4 linked regions of the Drosophila melanogaster genome follow. The protein of the gene in region 3 interacts with the protein of the main gene of each other region in a pairwise test. Each region holds a gene or a part of one and is shown on either strand. Other genes may lie near its edges.

Evidence for each region.
Region 1: the proteins of scaf6 (region 3) and CG34109 interact in a two-hybrid assay, tested with the Drosophila melanogaster proteins (one large-scale study listed by BioGRID).
Region 2: the proteins of scaf6 (region 3) and Dlip3 interact in a two-hybrid assay, tested with the Drosophila melanogaster proteins (one large-scale study listed by BioGRID).
Region 4: the proteins of scaf6 (region 3) and bsh interact in a two-hybrid assay, tested with the Drosophila melanogaster proteins (one large-scale study listed by BioGRID).

The regions. Positions count from the first base shown.
Region 1 is NT_033779.5:10,092,142-10,097,119, reverse strand, and holds the start of CG34109 (uncharacterized protein), read right to left. Parts: upstream 3,033-4,978; 5' UTR 3,023-3,032; intron 207-3,022; coding exon of another isoform or gene 67-206; intron 1-66. Other genes in the region: CG13133 (uncharacterized protein), read left to right, coding at 4,885-4,978; CG44153 (uncharacterized protein), read left to right, coding at 67-206.
Region 2 is NT_033778.4:18,126,796-18,130,778, reverse strand, and holds Dlip3 (dorsal interacting protein 3), read right to left. Parts: upstream 2,286-3,983; 5' UTR 2,103-2,285; coding exon 2,009-2,102; intron 1,804-2,008; coding exon 1,678-1,803; intron 1,601-1,677; coding exon 774-1,600; 3' UTR 533-773; downstream 1-532. Other genes in the region: Hsf (heat shock factor), read left to right, coding at 1-24; Spn55B (serpin 55B), read right to left, coding at 2,648-2,914, 3,482-3,983.
Region 3 is NT_037436.4:17,036,567-17,044,185, forward strand, and holds scaf6 (SR-related CTD associated factor 6), read right to left. Parts: upstream 6,009-7,619; 5' UTR 5,894-6,008; coding exon 5,872-5,893; intron 5,708-5,871; coding exon 5,537-5,707; intron 5,475-5,536; coding exon 5,128-5,474; coding exon of another isoform or gene 5,119-5,127; exon of another isoform or gene 4,368-5,118; intron 4,036-4,367; coding exon 3,873-4,035; intron 3,645-3,872; coding exon 3,572-3,644; intron 3,065-3,571; coding exon 2,990-3,064; intron 2,768-2,989; coding exon 2,691-2,767; intron 2,628-2,690; coding exon 2,429-2,627; intron 2,367-2,428; coding exon 1,365-2,366; intron 1,308-1,364; coding exon 1,140-1,307; intron 1,069-1,139; coding exon 754-1,068; intron 690-753; coding exon 518-689; intron 465-517; coding exon 366-464; 3' UTR 293-365; downstream 1-292. Other genes in the region: beg (bad egg), read left to right, coding at 1-272; Papst2 (PAPS transporter 2), read left to right, coding at 6,500-7,351, 7,408-7,589.
Region 4 is NT_033779.5:19,765,255-19,770,969, forward strand, and holds bsh (brain-specific homeobox), read right to left. Parts: upstream 3,814-5,715; 5' UTR 3,676-3,813; coding exon 3,233-3,675; intron 2,761-3,232; coding exon 2,486-2,760; intron 2,097-2,485; coding exon 1,794-2,096; intron 1,375-1,793; coding exon 1,106-1,374; 3' UTR 522-1,105; downstream 1-521. UniProt on the Drosophila melanogaster protein: DNA binding protein that function as transcriptional activator. May play a role in the determination and function of cell types in the brain.

The sequences.
Region 1 (4,978 bases), on a different chromosome or scaffold from region 3:
CGAACCGAAAACCGAACCACAGCCATCCTGTGTCTAATTAGTGTGACATTGTCTCCCCTTTCGCAGGAGCTGACCGTCAATCAGCCGCAATCAGGAGTCCGCGAGGCCAGCGAGTTCATCATATCCTGCACGGCCCAAGGCTCATCCCGGATGCAGTTCCAGTGGTTCAAGGATGGCGCTGTGGTTAATGCCAGCAAATCGACGAGGTGAGTGAACTATATATATACATGTCGCAGCTGCTTATCTTCCACAACCAGCTCGAAATGCCATAAACTTGCTGCCCGCGTAATGGAATATGGAATGAGAATGGAGTAGTGCCTAGAAAACTGTGAAACGGAGTCTGGAGTTTTAATAAAATAGTATAGAATCGAAAGAATATGGCAAAAATCAATGTCACACTCGGAAAGTCAGAAACGGGTGAAGACGGGTGGAAATCGCGAGGGATGACTCTCGTCACAAGTGTTCAATTTGACTTTATGACTTTTACACATCAATAAACATGACATAAAAACGCCAGGCGGAATAAAAATGAAATGGCCAAAAAGGATAAATAAGTCAGGGCAAAGATAAAGATTTGTCAGTGGCCATGGACGAAGGACGGGGTACAAGTTGGTAAGTTGCTAGCTGGGAACTGGAGGCTGGCTGGGATACTGAGTTCTGGACCAGACCGAAACCTAACCGCAGTAAGCCTAACCGAATGATTGATCATAAATCCTACAGAGTGGGCCAGCCGGAACACATGTGTTGGCCAACATATACGAATGGCATGCCCATTCCATTCCGGAATGCCTCAGACTTCCGACTACAGGCTCCACAACCCCGCAATTCAGATCCACTTTCGGATCCACTTGGCTGGCGGGTAGTGTGGGTGTATTACATAAAAAGCATATGGCCGTAACTAACGAGGGGCTGTTACTTGGGCGACTTGGCAGGGGTTATGAGCAGCTTAGCCCTACCAGGAGCAACACCACCCACTTTCCGCCCGTCATGTTGCCTTGACAATTCGCCTTGCAGCCGAAAGCACCACCACAAAGCTCAAACTTTAAATGTGTTGCGTGAATGGCAAACGAGCGAAACGGAGGTCCTTGGAAAGGATTGGTTAAATGAGTACGCGGTGCGCAGGGCGGTGCAGATGCCGATAGAATTCGCAATTCATTAACAAAATTTTAAGCCTTGGCAGGCTGGCTTTCGCCATTCTGGGACAACGCGTTTTTGGAAACTACATGTCACGAAACGTTGCCAAAAGTTGTTTTTATCTGACCAGAAATTTAAATTTCCATTCTCTTGAAATCTAAAAATATCTAAAATTTCAAGAAAATGCGCGTATAAGCTGTTTGGTTAGGAAAACATTCGAAATGGATCGAACTCTTTAGGAATATAACTATTATATGGTAAATTGTTGTTTTTATCTTTGCAACAATTTAACCAAATATAGTTTGTATTACTTGTTATTCAATCGGCAGATGGCCATCAAATTGATAACGATGTGTTCTATTTTTATGCGGTATTCGAATAAAGGATTGTTCATCCGAATATTACCTTTCAAATAAATAAATGTATGGCCCCCATTCCCGCAAATCGATAACCAAATCTATTCTCGGAGTTCAGTTTTTGTTATCTAGTGAAGCCAACTATGCGTTTTCCAAATGCCAACTGCTACATAGAACAATTCGGACCCTTCCATGGCCATTCCGCCAGCTAGCCCCATCCGATGATGATGATGGTGATGGAGGAGGAGGTGGTGGTGGTGGTGGTGGTGGGGATCCGGACTTATGATTACTTTTATGCATATTTGTACGGATCCCCCACATGTACATGGTATCCTTGTTTGCTGCAGGACCTCCACGTGGCTGGCAGACCTTCCATCAGTTTCAGTTTCGCCCAGTTTGCGTGGCCCACTCGGACGCATTGATGTGTAAAAAATGACTGCCGTACAAAGCCGCAAACATGTGTTTTACTCCACCCAAAATCCCCGCAAATGGAGGGTAGGCAAGTATTAGTAAATATTTTAACTAAAGTGAAGTGAGTGAAGTCATTCATTTGGACATTTACCAACTTTGCATTATACAAACGACTACACATTAAATCCGTCCGATGACTTTACTTTTGCGTACTAAAATAACCGGAAGTAAGTGAATTTTTAATGCTTGATTTCACCGCAGGGAGATGTTCACTTGGGCAAATGCTATTTATTATCGAAATATGGCCAATACTGGCCATCTACTGATTAGTTACCACCGATGGCTATTGGCAACCAATTGGCACATTTAGACAGTTTGCTTAAGGCACGTATAAAGTAATTGTGTTTAGACTTAGATAAAGGACAATAAATATAAGTATACATATCTAGTAACATTAACTACATTTTAAGAATATGAAGTTTCGAGCTTTCGGAACACTATCAACCAATCCGTTGTGGCCAAGTGTAACGAACCTTATGTTCAGATACAGATACCTTTAAGCCCGCAAACTGAGGCGTTCGGCCGTTAATCTATTGGATTGCCAGTCGCCGAAATTGTGACCCAGTTAGCAGATGTTTATCGCAAGCGTCGTAGGCAATAACCCACTTAATGAATGCAATTATTTTCCAATCACGGCACTAAGGCATCCAAAGCTGGTTGCCAAGAGGCCCGCAACCATGGCTAACTGGCCCCAAACTCCCAAAACAGGGGTGGCTTTGATTAACATGCCTTGGCGTTCCAATTGCCATTTGAAGGCGGTAGGTACACACACACACACACACATGTGTGTAAAATAATCAATGGCCACGGTCATTAATTGCGCCCCTAATCCTGTGTCCTTTGCAATCTGGGGCGAGGATTTGCAGGACTACAAGGCCGTTGGGCTGATTAAGTGCCACAACAGTAGTAATACAATTATTGAAGCAGCGGCTAAGCAAATACTTCTCATTAAGCCAACTTCGATTGTCTTAATTGTTGGATTTTACTTTTCAAAAATATCCTTAATCGCTTGAAATAATCGAGGTCCTTTTATTGTGCAAACTACACCACTTTTTGCTTACTTAAAGCTTGCGAACACCTTTAAAGTCTGAATTGAACTGAGTTCAAGACTGAAAAGCAGCCAACAAAGATCCATTTTTCCCACATTTTATTTGCCTAACAAATTCCAGCTAATTCGATCAACAGGAGCTTGCTAAAAACTAAGCTCTGTACGTTTCTCTGACGTCTTTGGCATCGATGTGTTATGTAAAAGCGGTGCACAATTTGTAGCCAGCAAACCAATTGACCTTTTGAGGAAGGAATTTAGATTCCTGCTAATATTAGCTTAACCCTAAGCACTTGCGTAATCTATATTTGTCCCAGCGCCATGAAGTGGAAGGGCTTGACTGCCTGTCAATGCAATTTCAAACCCATCTACCCCTTGGCCCCCATCCCCTTTTGACTTTTCTGCTTTTCCCTTGGCCAAGAAAACATCGACTTTTGGCTTGGAAGCTAACGAAACTGTTGCAGTCACTTTTGGCCGTGCTCTGAAAATTTGTCAAACTTGCTTAAAAGCCAAAGCAAAAATTCAATTTCAGCAGCCATGCAGCGCGAGCAGCCAAATTGCCTGACCCCAGCAGCACCAGACATAAGTAAAATATATATCGTATATATTTTACAAATTGGCTCAACCCGGGGCAGCAGTGGTACAAAAATGGCAGCAACAAAGAGGCAACAACTGTCTTGACAACGCAACGACGATGTCGTCGTCGTCGTCTAAGGACAATGGAATACAGCTATCGAATACAGGGTGCAAATCGAGAGGAAGTGGTTGTAATTTGGTCCCACGAGCCTTAAGGATTTGGCGGGAAATTTAATCCGACGCAGCTTTCATTATCTACAGCCAATCAGAAAATTTGGTTGCTTACTTTTGCCATATTTTCCGTAAAAGATAGCACCCTGTTAACAGCTGTTTGGATAGCACTGCAGTCACACTGAAAAAAAAAACGCACTAAAAAAAGTGTATTTCAAATTTTAAAATAAGTATACAATTTTAACAAGGACTTTTGCCACTCTTCATGGAGTAGCTTTCGATTTTCATAGATATCCATGCAGTTTCTCTTAGTGCATAAGTATCCAATGTTGCTGTGGGGTCACGATTTTCATTAGTTTCATTTGCCACAATGCGTCTGCCATACTCGTCTGCCGAGTTCAGTTGCTCGGATTTGCTTTGCTCTTCCCGTGGCGGGGTGACAATGGTACAATTAGTGACACCATTCGCCATTCCTCCAGCACTCGGTTTGATTCAAAATTTTTGGCATTATCTCATAACTGGCTCAACTCGCGCTGTGTGCACTGTGCTCTCCTTGTCCCGTCTTCCGATTCCGGCTCCTTGGCGCCGCTTGTGCAATAAAAGGACGAAGCTCCGCGGCTGATTGGACTGCTGGTGGGACGGGTATTGATCAAACAGTTCGAGTTGTCGGACAAGGCTGAGACCCACTTTCCCGGGAACGCGTGTCCCACTGAAGGAACGCGATACAGTAAAATCCTGATATATGTAACTGATTGAGAGTTATCACTTAGTAAAAAGCCATTTACCTGTAGCCAACTTAATTAAAAGAATATCTTTTGGTTTACGTGCATGTTTCTAAATGATCCTTTCCTGCATCGAATTGGAGTCGCACCTACTGAAGAGTCACTGTACTTAAAAACGCCATTGAAGGTGGAACAGAAATATGCTCAGTTAGAGTGGCTTTGGTGCCAGGTACAGTTGTGCAGCTCCAAGTTCCAGCGATTACCATAACCTCATCCACTCAGTTAGCTTGTAAGAGTCGAACCGGGCGGAGGGCAACGGTTTTTTTGGCCACATAAGCCAAAAATCAACACGCTTGCTCCGTGTGTCCAACGAACCGGAGTCCGTGCATCGGGAACCGGTGGCGCAGTCATGCCCATCCACTGGGACTGGGATTGGGAGCATGATCACGAGCATGGTCACCATCACTGGCAACCGCCGCGTCGCCACTGGTCCACCGGGGAGT
Region 2 (3,983 bases), on a different chromosome or scaffold from region 3:
AATACGCCACGTCACGAGTTGTAACTTATATTAAGTAGCAGCAGCTCAGCCGTTAAATTGGCGAACAAATCGTTTTTAGTGTTAAATGCAAATCTTGACACGTTAATTTTCATCACCTACTCTGTCTAACCATTTAGTTGATTCATACGATAATCACATTAATAACCACTATAATCATATGAATGATCTGTATATGCCTTATGCACTATATATATGATATATAGACTAACCAGTTCTTGTTGTAGAAAGACTCGAAGAATCAGTAAAGATTTAGATTTATTTTGTATCGCGGGATTTTGCGGGCCCCAGCTCAGCAGGTAGAAGATTTTTAGTTTGCACTAACCGATCGAGAGTACAGTGAAAGCTGATCGCATCGTATACGATTTAAGATCGCACGCTTCAGTTTATACATTTTACACACTACTCTTATCATTATTTCAAAATAAATTGTTTAATGTCGCGTTGAGCTGCAAATGAAATCAAATGTGTACTTTTTCTTTGGAACAATGAAACTTCGTTTGCTGCTAACCTTGTTTTGTGCATAATTTTATTCGACTCAATGTTGATACAACTAAAGAGATATGGACTATGGACACATATCGCCTCAAATTAACCTAGAACCTTAGCCTAGGACTCGAAACGTAGAGTTACAAGTTGTTTGCAAGTATGTAAATACATAAATGAAGGGGGAGTGTGGGAAGTGTTCGAGTGCGTTGTCTACCACTAAGGATACTAATCGAGAATTGTACGTATAGAATGATGACTATGACGCCTTAGCTTTCGTCCTTGTACTTGGCGTCCTTCAGAATGTTGGCGAACTCGAACTTGACCCGCTCCCGTTCCGATCTCCGCATGCTGCGCAGTGTGTCCACCAGCGATAGGCAGTAGAGCTCGATGGGATCGTTGAAGGACGACGTCACTTGGGTCTGAAGCGGCGCTTGGGTTGCCTTGCGCTTGAAGGGATTGGTCAGAAAATCGCTGGGTAATGCGCGTCTGATAGCCGCAGGCTTGTAAATGGGCTCAATGGTCACTTCTCCGTTGGACAGCGAGCTATTCTTGAACGGCTTTTGCTCCTGTGTCTGCTGCTGTTCTAGATGCACCTCCTGGCCATAGCCATTGCCCATTACAACCATCGGCGTTAGCAGGGGCGAGGAGGCCGGCGAGCTGGCTTGGTCATGTTCGTGGCTGTGATTGCTGCTGCTGGTGCCGTTCAGTGTCGTCGGCAGGGATAATTGCTGCTTGGACTCTCCCATGACCAGCTGCAACTCGGGCACAATCTCGTTGTCGTCGCTATTTGAGCCATCGTCGCTGTTGTCCAGCTCGATGATGTCGTAGCCCTCGGAGGCGTCGATCTTTAGGTGCTCCGGATCGGGATACAAAAAGCTATTGCTGTCGTTGTCACTTCCCATTCCATTCTGTTGGGCCACGTAGCTCTGGGATTTCTTCACATTGTAGGTTTGGGCCGTGTTCTGCAGAAAGGATAGATCCTCAGTGAAGCGCCGCTTGCGTACGTTCGGATTCGCCTGGCCCGTCTCAATCGCCTTGACCTCCTGCAGATAGTTGTATCGTATGTTCTTCCATTTGGTTTGCAGAAATCGGGCTGTGAAGTGGGCGTAGAAAAAATGGGGTGGTTTTATCGACAGAATCTACGCAGTGGATAAAATGCAATATACTCACAGGAGGCGCCCAGTTCGTTGGCAATGCGATCCCATATGTCCACCCGCACCGGATTACGGCGATAGTGCGGATGGCTGACATCATAGATGGCCGGATTGGCGCGCACAAGCTTTATCAGGCGATCGTCTGGGAGCAAGGATTTGTGGGAAAAATCGTTAAAATCTGTTTCGGTTTTCTAATTCCGTTTCTACGTTTCTTCGCCGCAGAAACAGCAACCCCTAAGCGCAGAAGACACATCCTTTGGCTTTGGGGGTTGATTCTGCGAGCCCCGGTTACTCAGATTCCATTTCTGAATCCATTGTGTACCGATTGCGAACCGAGGAAAACTCACCGAACTCGGGTCCTGTGGTCTCGCGCTCCGCGTAGTAGCGCTGCATCTTCTCCGTCTTGGGAAAGGTGTCCTGGTTTCCGTTCTTTCGGCTCATTTCGTCCTAACTTTGGCCAATTGCTTTCGAATGTTTTGCTAGTCAGGTTGCCATAGGCGGCCGCTTTTCCTTCTGTTTGTATTCGCACTTTTAAGACGGCTCTCGCTGGCGATTCTAAAAGTTTATGTTGCTGCGACCGATTTACCGTTCGACTCTCCTGCGTTCTCTTCGTTTTGGTTTTACGCGCTCTGCGCAGACTCAATTCGGCTGGTCTTGCGGTTCGGCCAGTTTTAGGCCATTTCGCGACTTCTTTTCGATATCGAATCGATAACAGACCACGAACTTGGTGGCAAGGCTGAATGAGTGGCGCGCACTTCAAATATCATGAAAACATATATTTAAATAACCGAAATGTTGATCCTCAAACAACGTTCTCATATTTTTCTATTGAAACAGGTGTTTAGTTCAAATTTGTTTACATCTGCCAAGAATTTCCAATTGGCAATACGATAAACACGGGTAATTTAATCATGGAGCGCTTATTTATTTAAAAATACTTTTCCAACAACAATACAAACAATACGAAAGAAGTGAGAAATGGGCTTTTAGGCAGCCTTAACGAAGGCGCCAGCGAAGAGGATGTTCTTCTTATTCCAGATGACGTAGAGGAAGGGCCGGTCCGCCTGGAACTGCAGCGGGAAGGTCATCATGCGGGTCATCATGATCATGCCGGTGGCAGCCGCCGCCTCCGTGCCCTCCTCATTCACCTCGATGGTGGCCTTGTGCAGCACCTTGGACACAAAGACGCCCTCGGGGGATTCCAGCAGATTGCTAAACTCAGCTTGGTCCGTAAACATTTTCGTGATGCCCAGCTGAAAGTGAAAAGGTAAATACATAAGTGCCAAGTAAATAACTAATGAGGTCATATCCGATTGAGGATTTATGAACGATTAGATATGTGAGGTGCTTGGAAAGGTGTGTCACATCCGACTGCAGCTAAAATTCCATCATTTTTTTTTAGGATCGTGCGGCTGATACATGATCTTGAGTTCGAGCCACTAGCTGCCACCGCAATACCACAACAGCTCATTTTGGTTATCTAAGACATTTCTACCCTACCGTCGATAAGCTACTAAAAATAATACATATGTACATCAATAGACGGAATTTTAGAGATAAGTGGGCAATAAATATTTTTGTGGGCGGTTTGCAGCACTGCAACGTGTCCATAAAATTGAATTCTGGATTTTATGGAGAAATTTATTGAGCTACTGCTATTAATAACTCCAAACTTCACCTTAAGCACGCAACATCAAATGGAGGTCAAGGAACTGTGTTATATAAAAACAAAAGCTGACCCCAAATGGAGCTTAATTGTGGCATAAATTGGGTGGAACAATCAACCCCCCCCACCCCCAAAAAAAAAAAATAATATGTACCTGCTTCAGTTTCTCGGCCAATTCCAGGGAGTAGTCCACCTTAAACTTGGGGAACTTGACATGGACCTCTTCCACGGTCAACTTGTCGGCCAAATCCACCAGGTTCACAGTCTTGAGCTTCTCGGCTAGGGCGTAAATACCTGTCCGCTCCTGCGGCAGCAGCACGAACATGGAGAGGTCAGAGTCCTGGTAGGGCATCTCCAGGGCAGTGCAGCCCAGATCTTCGAAGAAGCCATAGTTGAACTTGGCCTTCTGGTTCATGTAGTTGATTTTAACCTGCTCCTCCTCGCCCACCCAGAAGATATCCTCCTCGGTGCGCTCCTCGCTGAACTTGTGCGCCCAGCTGCCCTTGAAGTGGAGGGCATTGAGCAGGACCAGCCTGGTGTTGTCCGAGAACGAGTCCGCGCTGACCAGCTCCGTAATCTTGCCCTGAGTCTTGGCATTCACCCAGGCATTGATGGCCTGGGCGGCGGCATCGTTGAGCGCAAAGTTAATGGACTCC
Region 3 (7,619 bases):
TGAAAACGGTGCGACTTCAGGACCCCGTCATTAGAGTGTACTCCAATGTGGATGGCAAACCCTATCGCCATGCCAAGCACATCCTAACGCAGCTGCCCAAGCAAATCGTGAGGCCCGTCAAGTGGGAGCAGACTCTCCACGAGATGTACGAGCGCAAGCAGGGCGTCGACTTTCCACGCACCTTCGAATGCGGTCCTGGCAAGGGCCTGGTCCAGGTCCTGGAAAAAGTAAATGCCAAGGCCGCTCAATCCAGCTTTAATGTTATAGCCTAATCTTGTATAAAAATTCAGTTCGCTTTTATAAAAATGTATATTTTCTGGGCTAAAGGAAACAAAAAACTGGGAAGTTATGACCGTTGGCAGATCCTAACTCTTGTCGTCTCGCGATCGCATCCGGTGCGCGAAGGCAGCTCCTTTGTTCTTCCGAAAGCTCTCGAAGGGATCGTGCATATTAGCGCCCACTCCCTGTGGATAGAAAATTATAAGTTGTCCTTTCTTGCGCACTCTTGCCACTTCACCTTGTACATCTCTCGACGATCGCGCACCTCGCCTCCCGAAATGGGCGTGTCGATGCCTTGATTCTTTGAGCCCAGTCCAGTTCCCGTGCCCGCCCAACCCATTTTCATGAGCATTTGGTGGCCCTTGTTCGATTCCTCGATGAAATCCGCTGGCTTGGCAAATGTGCTTCCCCTGGAAAAACAAAGATAGCTCATTGGTCCGACTGTCATGAAATTGTACTATAGCCATGATTTACAGAAAGCTCGGAGGTGTTAGAGATCTGTCGCGGTCCACTCGTCTTAGGTTGGTGCTGTTGCCATTGTCTCGGCTATTGGAATTGCCACGATCACCACGGCCCTCTCTGGTATTTGTGCTGCCGCTGTTGTTGTCCCGTTCGTGGCGAGGAGATCGATTGCGACCCTTGCGGTTGTTACCACCGCCCAACCTGCTCCGATTCATCGGTGGCGGCGTTAAAGAGCGCTCCATGGATCGCGAGCGGGATCGGGAGCGAGACAACGATCTATCTCGATGGGGCGGCGTTTTTGAGCGGGAGCGACTGCGACTCTTGGATCTGCGCAAGAAAATAAGTGCAAATATTTCTAGTTTTTGTGTGAAAATTTTTGATGGAAAACCAACACTCACCGATAAACTCGCTTGTTGCTCTTTTTGGGTAGGGGTTTCTCGAGCACAATCGGACTTGGCGACCGCGACTTTTCTCGAATGCCGTCCTTGATTTCCTCTTCTTTTTGCTTTCGCGCCGCATTCTTCACCTTATAGTACTCATAGAGACCAAGCTTCTCCCAACCCTCACTGCAAGATAAGCCCATTTATAAGGAACGCTCAATAACATCAAATTGAAATACTTACTTATCCCTTGGACGATCGTGTGAGGGTGCGGAATAGAAGGCGTTCAATGCATTTGTTAATCGCTCGCTTTGTGGCGCTGGAGCTGGCAGTCGAATGTCCGCCGGATCGAGGGCTTTGTAGTTGTAATCCTCCAGACGAATGAGCGGCACCATGAGGCCCGCTGGCAGGTCGTAGTAAGGCGCTGTGGGTATTTGTGGCTCTCCGATCACAACAGGTTCTCCAGATTCTCCGTCGACCAATTTCTGTGGTTGCTGGCCATCTTCCAATGTTCCGTCTTCGGGTTTGTTGGTTATAACCGCGCGAATGGCTGCATTGAGCACATCCAGATCCACTTCGCTGCTATCAGCATTTTGCTGGCCAGGTCTAACAATATTCTGGGGATAGGCAGCCATTGGCGGCGGCTGCTTTTGCTGCTGCGGTTGTTGCTGCTGCTGCTGCTGCAGTTGGTGCTGTCCTTGTTGCTGAGGGTCGTCAGGATGGTGTTGCTGCTGCATCTGTAAGCACGCCTGAATCGCTGCACTGAGAACGCCAAGATCAACAGGTGGTTCATTGCCAGAACCCGGCGCCTGCATGGGCGGAAACTGTCCCGGTTGTGGCTGCTGCTGGCCCATTGCTGGGCCCTGATTATGATGCATGGGTCCGGGGAAGCCTGGTGGTGGTTTGGACATGTCCGGAATGAAGAAGTTCGGTCCGCGTGGATCCGCAAAGTGATTCCCCGGTGGTGGCTGCTGCTGTTGGAAGTTACCACCTGGATACATATTATTTCCCGCCTGCGGATGCTGCTGATCATGCGGCCCCTGGCTATTCATGTGCTCATGGTCACCCGGCATTGCTATTCGGTGGGACATCAGCGATGGTATGTTCTTCTGCTGATGCTGAAGCATGTGTTGCTGCTGGGACTTCTGGGCCACAATCTGCTGCTCCAGGTGCTGCGCCTGTTTCTCCAGCTGCACAATTTGCTGGCTAGCATGTTGGATAAATACATGATGCTGTTTCTGATAGCTGAAGCATAAGAGTTATGGTTTATTATGTGCTCTATTATGTTCTTGGACTTTTATACTTACTTATCCAAAGTCGCCTTGGTATTCTGCGTGAATTTAGCAGTTATATCATGATGTGTGTTCTGCAGATTGGTTTTGTACTCCTGCATTGACGAGTCCGGTGACTGAAGCTTCGAGATGACGCAGGCATCGAAGAACTTCGCCTTGGACTCCCACAGAGACAGCAGCTTGGCTAGCTTCTGGCGCTGGTCGGGGTTGCCAACTGTGGGCGAGGATAACACTATTAGAAATCCGTAAAGGAATGGATCGAAGTGGAAATACATACTCAAGTCGGCGCTGCAGAACATCGGAATGACGACGTTCTCGAGGCTGTTCTTCAAGTCATTGATGTTCTTGCGCATGCTGTAAATATATCGTTGGACTTAGGTCTCATCTCCTAGCTACTCTAAATGTCAAGGTATGATGTCCGAAGTCCGGTGGTCGGTCAGGTTCAGTCCAATTCTGTCAGCGTAGTCGTCCGCAGAAACTAACCCACAAAGTAGTCTTACTGCTCAGTGGGTTAGTTATTGAGGTCTATGGCCCTTAAATACTATACTATACTAATAATTGACTGGGCGAACTTACCAGTGATGGAGTATATCATTAACTAAATATATAAGATGCAATTTTTGCTGAAACGTTGAACCATTGACCAAAGCCCTAAAAATAAATTAACAAACGAAAAACATATTTTTCTAGTTCTCTGTATGCACAACAACATTGCCAAAAGTACTTGTTGTGCAAGTATAATGATTTTTGTTAGTAAATCTTCTTTCTTTTTGGTATTTGTGTTTTTTTTTTTGGTTTTTTTTTTTTGTCCGATGATTATCACTGTTAAGTGTTGGTGTGTTGTTGTGCGTGTTTATGGTTAAGCTTATTAAGTAAAATGATTTGTTTGGGTGTGTGGCCCTAGCTAAAAGACTTCCGGATCTGGGGACTACTCATATATGATCATAACATCTCTCGAAAACGAATCAACGAATCAATCTCGAGCCTCTCTGTGGAAGTCTCAATCGCACAATCGCTCAATCGATCATCTCTCACTTGTTTGTTCGATATTTCGTATTTCGTTTTTCTATGTTTGGTTAGTATTTCACTCGTTGAAAGAAAGAAACACAATTTAATTAATACATATTGCAGGTCATTAGGTATAAAACTGAGGCATACTTCTTTAAAAGATATTGTAAAACGACATTGATTTTTGCGCTGTCGGTTGAATGCTGTAAAATCCAGTTCTTGCCTAAAATTGCAATATCAAACGGGTTACTCATATTGTCATTGTCCATGGCGATTATAAATTAGGTTTAGGATTAATCAAAAAGTAGTATGGATTCATTTAGTGTGCGCTTTGTGTGCAGCAAAGCTGCGGAGCATCAAAAATTCAGCTCCATTAGCTAACTTATGACTGATTACGAGACTACAAACAAGCAATAATGTAATCCAGCCTGTCCGCTGAACTCGTATTTACCTGCAGAGATGCTGTCCTTCGTGCAGGACTCGATGATCGGCTGCAGAACGCCATCGAAGTCCCTCAGCACAATGCCCTGTTCGCCAGCCATCTGTTCCTGCTGCGCCGTCTGCGCCGCCGCAATTGCATCCTCGATCTGCTTGGTCTTCTGATTCATCAGGGCCTACAGGTTGGTTTCGTTTGGTTGATTGGTGCGATTAGGATCGCAAGCGTTGGTGTGGTTCGGATCGGTTCGGTTTGGTCATTAGGCACACAAAGGTTTGTTCGCATGCATATTCGCATTTTGGGATTCATTTGACAAGCGTTTCAAAACAAATTTGATTTTAGGATTTGTTTTTTTTTTGTTTTTATACAGTTTTGTCAGTTGGTATGAAGAGTGGTTTGATTTGGTTTTTTTTTTTTTGGTTTATGTTTCAAAAAATACAATAAAGCAAAAATTTAATGTAGCATTGTAAATTGTTAATTAAATAGTAAAAATAATGACAAATATAGATTGTAGTTTGATATTGCTGAAAGTACACTTTAACTTTATCTTATCCGCACTTGGAGAACAAGAACTGAGTAGATCGATTGAAAAAACATTTGGAAAAGGGTCGAGAGCAGGATTGATTATTCTGAGGAATTCGTGGATTAGTTTCATAAGAAACAATTTCAAGAGGGAAGTCACTTCCATTACAGGGAAATTCAATAGCGACAAGCAATAAGAAATGTCCTTCTTATTAGAAAGAATTTAGTTCACAGTACTTATAGAGTGAAAAGTCCACAAAAGCAGTTCATAATTATTAATATTAAACACCATTTGATGAACTCTTGTTCCAGAGTTGTTATTACAAAAACTAGGGAATACAAAACTGCCATCTATGAGTCTATGACAATATCTTTGGAAATCATTTAAGTCCGAAAGTATATAAGGGTTATACAAGTTATCTTCTCTCTTAAGAAAATAATTAAAAGCATTCTGGCTTAAAATCGAGGTATATTCACATTCGATTGGGTCGTTTAAAAGGGAGGTCAAAAATTCGAAGAAGCAAACACGTTCTTATATTCAGACTATAAAAGCAACTTTTAGGTGGGTATTTAGTTTAAAAAGGAAACCAATTTGCTTCTTTAAATTTTTGCCAGAGGAGGCCAACATTCAACATGAAATCATATTGAAATCTTTTCTTTATACACTCGAGCTGCTCTAATCTTTCGGAAAAAGGCTTGCAAAGGTGGGCATATAGAGGTATCCCAGTTATTTCCAACTTCAAATTACCGTGTGCTGTGCGGAGAGATTCGCTTCGGATTGCTGGATCTGTTCCCGCAGCGACTTCTGCTGCATCTTGATGGCTTCCAGTTGTGACGTTAGATTCATGGCCATGGGATTGCCATTGGCCTGCTGATTGTTTGGCGGCCCACCGTTGCCGGAGTTCGGCGGCCAGGAGTGCTGTGTTTGCTGTTGCATATTGTCTTGTGCGGTTTCGGGCGGGTGCGGTGGCTGCTGATTGGGTGGCGGATAGAGGCCCGGTGGTTGGGATTGCTGCATTGGCGGCGGATGTTGCATGTAGTGGCCGGATGGAGCACCTGGTGGCAGTTGTTGGTTAATGGCCTGTTGCTTTAGCACTGTATTGGGTGTTAAAAGGAGATTATAGGGGTTATTTTCCACCAATTTAGAACGCACTCACGAGCTTGTTCCGCTGCCACCCTGAATTGATAATAGTTGGCGAACTCCCCGCCGTAGAGGAACTCGAACTTTGGATTGTTCTGCTGCTTCTGCTTGGTTATCGCCTCGAATTCCGGCCCATTTCTGGCCACAAACTCCGCCAGTTTGTCGATAATATTTCGTAAACTGGCATCTGCAAATAGAAAGCAAATGGTTTTTGCAAAAAATGTGAGCATATCAAAGGTTGTGCGTGCGCTTGTTTGTTTGTATGTGTACACATGTGCATGCCAATCGACTTGGGCACAAAATTAGCTTGATTTTAAGTTATATTCAGCACTTTTTAATTGCTGCACTTACCGCGTGGCGGTTGCACGTCCATTTTGCGACTGTTATTAGCACTATTATCCTATGTAAAATACTAAATTCATAACTTTTTGCACTTTTTCAGCGGCACTTTTCACTGCTTCTTCTTGTTTTTTCCGACAGTGTGCCCATATCTTTGTATTCTTAGAACGACATGTAGTCAAATACTAGGAGTTACTCTCGGCACTACTTTTTAAGTAGTTTTTAGCGCTTATCATACGCTTTTTTGAGCAAAAAAGCGGCTTAAACCTTTATCGCTGCTCATTTGTTAAATGTATTTATTGCCAGTAGCAGAAGTTCCAATTAGAATGACGGTGGTAGCAGAGCTGCCAACTTGTTCCACGTTATACCGGTCTCTCTTCTATTATTACCACAACGTGGCAACGCCGCGCGTCTATCTCAGTTCTAAGCTGACAAAAATAGTTTATTTGTGGTAAACAAACATTTAGCCAGGGCAATTTGCACCCAACAGAAATCTCCACGCCGGCCCGTGATTAATGCAGCATCCGAGGAGGCATGACAAATCCGCACTTTAAACCGACAACTCCGCGGACAGCGTGGCATTGAATTACACGGGCTCCCTGGAAATATAATCTTGAAATAGCCACTATATAGTGTGTATATGTATATAGACACATCCGCTAGCAGCAGAATGACCGATAATAAGGGGAGCGTTATCACCATTAATGGCGGCGAATCGGCGGGAAACTCGCCGCCCTCGCAGCGGAAGTCCTCGACGTCGGAATCTCCGCCGGAACTCCGTATCCTTTGCTTTGACCTCACCTACTACAATCGCACAACTCAGTTCCTGCTCAGCTGCGCCGGCGTCTTCTTCCTGTACATCCTGTACGGCTATCTGCAGGAGCTGATCTTCACCGTCGAAGGATTCAAACCCTACGGATGGTTCCTCACGCTCGTCCAGTTTGGCTACTACATCGGCTTCGGTTTGGTGGAGCGGCGGCTGGAGGGCTATCGGATAAGCGGCGGTTCCTTTTGGAACATTGAGCCGGAGCCACGTTGCATTCCCATGAGAACATACCTAATTCTGGCTGCTCTCACGCTGGGTACCATGGGTCTGTCCAACTCAAGTCTCGGCTACCTGAACTATCCCACCCAGGTGATTTTCAAGTGCTGCAAGCTCATTCCCGTGCTGGTGGGCAGCATCCTCATACAGGGCAAACGCTACGGACTGCTGGACTTTGCGGCAGCCACCTGCATGTGCATCGGATTGGCCTGGTTCACGCTGGCCGACTCCCAGATGACGCCCAATTTCAATCTGCTTGGTGTGGCCATGATTTCGGGAGCGCTGCTCTGCGACGCAGCCATTGGCAATGTCCAGGAGAAGGCGATGCGGGAATTCAAGGCGCCCAGCAGTGAGGTGGTGTTCTACTCATACGGCTTGGGTTTTGTGTACCTATTTGTGATTATGCTGGTTACCGGCAACTTCTTCAGCGGCTTTGCATTCTGTTTGGAGGTGGGTAACATTTGAGGTTTATGATGTAAGAGATCTAAAGTGTATTATCCATTTAGCATCCCGTTGAGACCTTCGGCTATGGCTTCCTCTTTAGTTTGTCCGGCTATCTGGGCATTCAGTTTGTGCTGGCTCTGGTGAGGAGTAGTGGTGCCCCCATAGCTGCCACAGTGACCACCGCCCGCAAGGCTGTGACTATAGCCTTCTCCTTTGTGCTTTTCAGCAAGCCCTTTACCTTACAGTAAGTACTATTCTGTGTATTTCTAAAGAC
Region 4 (5,715 bases), on a different chromosome or scaffold from region 3:
CAGTCCAAAGTATGAAACTAAAAATGATAACTTCTCTCAACAAATAGATCCATGAGTTTTGATGACTGCAAAGGTATCTACATGTATATAAGCATATGGAACTCCATTCCCTCCAAGACTCATTCTTAATCGGGTAAACTATTAATATTTTTTCGAGAGCATTCCTGCTAACCCGTAATTACCAATCAATTTGAAACATTTAACTTTTACCTCCTCACTCTATTCCGCACTTGACAATGGGTGTCTCACTAAAATGGCTGTCTGAAAACCCGCAATTATTTTGCCATTGTTAAGTGCATTTCCATCCACCCCGATTCAATCCAATCCCACCCGCTTCCGCCCGCCCACTTGGGCGGCAGGACATGCGCAGGGCGTGGCAGTCGCCAACCCCATACATCAGTATTCCCGCTGCTTAACCATATTAGTTGCTACTTTGTGTTGTCAATTGGATTTGATTGCCCGGCGAGGGGGCGGGCATCAAGCTACACCACCCACCCACCCAGTAACACTTCTCCAGCATTCGCGTAATTCGCTCCGTTCCGTTTATTGTAAGCACTATGTTCTGGATAAGAAGTCGCAGGGAACTAATGTATCTTAAAATGGAAGTTCTCGAATACAATCACTAAATTTGATTAGTTATTAGACTTAATACATGACTAGAAAACTCGTTCAAGAACTCGTTGGTATTTACACGGCTTTTCGATTCAATTCAAATATGTATCTGGGGGGAAATACAACTATAATTATAGCAAAATAAATATGTTTCTTTTGGACAAGATCAAAACAGCTAGAGTAGCTGGATGGTATCTGTTATAATCAATCAATTAATTCAATGGTGAAACTGATGGGTAAGTTTCCACAATTATAAGGAACTATAGTTCGTACTAAATCGTAATAATAGATATTTTCAAAATGGTATAACCATGCTCGCGCTGATAATATATGTGTTGTTTTGTAACTTCTGTGCTTGTCTAATAGAAAAGTCATTTAGTAAAAGAAACTGATATTTTTTGATTTGAAAATCTCTTTTAGTTGTATTTCCCCCAACTGAAACACCGAAAACTTTACTACTTTAGGATCCAGGTCCACATCCCGATCGAACTGTCTATGTTAACTGGTAGAGTTTCGCATCGCCGACGATGTCCACGTCGCTGGAGTTGTCCTCGTCGCCACTGTCCGCCTCCAGATCGGAGTAGTCATCCGTGGAGTAACCCTGCTGCATCAGGCACATCTGCAGCTGCTGCTCGCTCGTCGGCTGAGTGGGTGTGCCGCCGACAGATCCGGGATTCAGTTTGCCGTGCTTGGAGTCCCCGGATGAGGAGGTGGCCTCGCCCGGCTGCTTGCCCGGTTCGCTGCGTGAGAAGTCGACGGGCTCTGCGGCATGGAAGAGTCAAAGAAATTTCCACAAAATTTAGAACTAATTTGATTTGCGTTGAAACTTGAGCAAAACTTTTTGCATCACAAGGAGCCGGCTAAAAGCCAAAAGGTCTAATTGATAGTCCAAAAGTTCCTCAAAGAAACTACTCACTCCAGTGGTCTAGTTTTTGGTGCTTTGTGACCAATTTGAAAACCGCTGACCACTCCTGCTCGAAATGCCTTTTGACAATTTAATTGCTAACTCAAATATTGCATTGTCTAAAAGCTGGAAAACTTGAGCAACTCTTTTTCGCTCTAGTTGTTCTTAACAGCCCAGAAAAGGTTTGAATATTAAATAACTTGATTTGAGTATTATAAATTTCGTAATATTTAATTTGCTCATAATAAATTTGTGATTATGAAATCAATATACTCACCATTGGCATTGTCGCGCCGGCGCAGCTGCTTTTTGTGCTTCATGCGGCGGTTCTGGAACCAGGTCTTCACCTGCGTCTCGCTGAGTCCCAAGGCGGTGGCCAGCTCCACACGCTCCGGCGTGGACAGGTATCGCTGTCCCTCGAACCGCTTTTCCAGACCGGACAGCTGCGGATCACTGAACACCGTGCGAGCCTTCCTCCGGCGGCAGTGGCGCAGGGCATTCACGCCCATTCCCAGTCCGAGGGCCAGTTCCGGCACACAGCCAGGCGCTCCGAAGAAGGGCGCTCCCCCGAACAGGCTGGCTGAAAGGGCAAAGGATGCAAAATTTGGTTAACTTCGTTATAGTTGGAACAAATGAAAACTTTCGGTGTTGATGGCCATTTACACCGAATATTTCGAGTTTTAGTGCCCCTAAATGAAGCTATGTGGCAACAAAAAACTGCACTTCAACATCAGTTGTCCTACTAATTTGGGTTTCATTTTGAAAAAGTTCTAAATGTGAAATTAAATGTTGTGCTGGCTTTTTAATGAGAATATGTCCAACTTCATTTTCGATTAGCTAAACTCTAGCTAGAATTGACTTTTAATTTCTATGAGTTCGACTTTAACTTATTACCAACATGTTTGTATGTACCAGTACAAATCAGAATCATCTAGGAGGATATCTCTGTAATATCGAGCATTAACTCACCTTGTGATAGAAAATAGGGATCCACGGACTTGTAGGTGCCCGACGACGGCGAGAGATATCCGAGGGTCATTTGAAGAAATCCGTGATCGGTGTAGGGTGCATTCGGATAGAGTACTCCATTGGATGCACCACTACCTCCATTCAGGGGCGGCGGAGGCGGAGGTTGAGGTTGAGTCGTGGGCACCGGCGGATGTTGTGCTGCTCCAGATCCCAACTGCTGCGAAATCTGATCTCCGTTGTAGTGGGAAGTTCCGTGTCGCGAGTGGTGGTTGGACCTACGAAGCAAGTGGTTCAATTAGGGGTCTATTGGTATTTCGATGTTAAACTATTCTCTTTATGTCCAATAGTGATTTTTATGCTAATATGCTTAAATACAAATATATATTCCCAGATACATTAAGCTTTATGGTAAGCCTGATTTCTATGTTTCCAAAATATCATTTTTCTTACAAAAAATATTCTATAATTTAAAAGAACATAATCCAAAGTAAGATTTTAAAGGTGTATGCTATTCCAAAATATTTGTCTTCAAGAAGGTGTGACTATCTATCGTATTTGATGTTTCATGTTTACTTCTTATTCTTTTATAAATTCACTTTGTTAATATTATCTTATTTTTTATTTATTTTTTTTTTATTTTAATTACTTTTTTTCACTTTTCTATGCAATTATATTGGCTTAAAATTAAAGTTTTTTAAACTAAAATTTCACTGCAGTAGTATTAGGCCTTGGAATTCGGAAACCAACCGTGGAGTGCTGTGCATGGACTTGCCGTAATCCTCGCCAGCGTAACCCGACGCAGCCTGGTTGCTGCGGGCAGTAGCCGTCGCGGATGCGGATGCGGACGCCGGCGGATGTGACTGCGGCGGATGCGAATGTTGCGACGGATGTTTGTGCGGATTATTGTCGTGGGCAAATGCGCTTCTGGCACTTTTCACCGCGTTTCTGCTGCTCTTTGGCGCGTAGTTGTTGGTGTTTGCGGCGATGCCGTTGGTATCACTACTATTATTGTTATTGCTGGCACTATTTAAGTTTTGAAACAATATGTGCTCGATGGAAAACGGCGTTTTTGTGGTCAGCATTGTGGTGGCACTGGCCATCGCCGCCGCCTTGCTGTGCGTGGGCGTGGTGGCGTTGGCATGAGCATGTGCGTCCGCAGGACTCAAGCTGGCCTCATTAAGCATTGCCATTGCGCTGGAGGATGGCCGAGCAGGAGGAGCACGAGGAGCAGTGATGGAGACCGGAGCCAGGAGATGTGCCAGCCAGCCGGGATATATACGTGTCCTTGGACCGCGCGCGCGCTTATGTTGTTTGCTCGTTGACGGTCGCGTTGAGTTTGCGGCAATCACCGCACATCAACCAGCAAATTGCTCTAAACGAGCTGCCAGCAGACATGTGCGAGCGAGCCGGCGATATGGTCCTGCATCCTGCGAAAAGGGGAAAATCGAAGGGGGGGAAAAAATGCGAGCGCAGGCAGTGCCACCCCCTCCTCAATCCGGCTGCAGTTGGCCCGCTTTGCGGTGCCCGCTTAGAGCGGCAATATTCGGGGAATCCCCGTAAGCGGGCACATGAACACACCCCTCGATTTGCATGCGCATAGGGTTGTCCTGCTCTGGCAGGATTTTGAGCACCCATCTCTCTGCTGGCATCCACTGGACATGCGATTAGTGCGGAAAAACCTTAGTTTAATTGACCCCCGTTAGCCGCAAATAAGTTGCACAACTATGCGTCCTTGCTCTGCCGCCATTTTGCGAGGCAGGCACATCCTGCCACGTCCCCAGCCGCCCATTTGGCACCCACTTGTCATAATTAACGTGTCACGGCCGCCATTGTTGGCTGTCTGGCTGATGATGTGCGTGCATTAAATGCCACAATTATTATAATTGAATTAAACAATCGATTCTGCTGCTGTGACAGGATAATTGCTAGGTGGAGCCAGCGCAACTGTACCCGCTGGGTTGGGGCCAAGCATTCGCCTGCTTTGCATTCAGATATTTTTTCCCCGCGCGGTTAATTGAATCAGAGCCCCACATAGCCGTACACCACCCACCAAGGACACCCGGCCCCCTCCGCACCCAACCAAGTGACACCATCGAAAAAGGGGGCGTGCCTCCTTTCCAGCAAGCCACCAATCGGCGAAGAGCTCGCCGAGGGGTTGCTTTCGCAACTATACTCGTCCTGTTTCGTCCTGTTGCTTTGAGAATCAGTCTTTCCTCACAGCGGAAAGTCCTTAATTCCTTCAGAGAGAGGGAAATATGGGGGGGGGGGGTCTCCACAAACAGAGCAGGAAGGAAGGACAATAACGAGACATCGCCGAGAGAGAAAAAGCATATGACGACGATGCGACCAAAAAGCAAGACAAATTTGCTCGTTTTATTAATAAAATAAGTCACGCAAACTAAGTCGAACGTCATTATTAGGTTAAAGCCCTAAAATGGGCGCATTAGGATGGCATTCGAGTGATCGCGGTGATGGTTGGGTCTGCTTGGGGATGTGCTGCCCTGTTCCTGGGCAAAAATATCTCAGCTTCTCTAAGGACATTGGGGGGTTATGGGGTTTGTGTTAACGAATAAAAATATTTAATTGTATTTAAAAGATATTAGAATAATAGTACTTAAAAGTGATAACCTAATTTCAGAAGTGCTCTACCAATTTTAAAATTATTAAATTAAAAAGATATAAGATTCATAGTTCCTAAAAAGACAACGTTTTTCTTTTAATATCTATTTTATAATATTCTTTTCATTTTCTATAAATCTATTTTATGAAATCCCATCTAAATTAAATTTTAATTTAAGGGTTGTATACCTTAATAATAAATATATTTATTATTATTATTTATTATTTATTATAAATATATTTATTATTACATATATGAGAAATAAAAACTGATATTTATCTTAGAGAAAGAATATTAATAGAATAAAATATCTCGAGACTATAGTTACATATAGTTTAGAGCTCCATAGAAGTGGAAAGCTGGAAAAAGGTATCCCAGCCAGAGATGAGCACTTCTCTCACCTGGCCGAAAGCTCTTAACTGGCTGCTCCGCCTCCACATCCACCTCCTCCTCCATGGACTACTCTTCGGTGTCATCCATTGTTAACCCGCTGACATGAACGTGCCAAAGGGCCTTTGTGAGGACATATATTTTGTTCAGTTCTTTTTGAGTCTGCTCGGTGGCGTGTCTACCTTGCGTTTTTTATTGATTTTTCTCGCTAGGTGGAAAT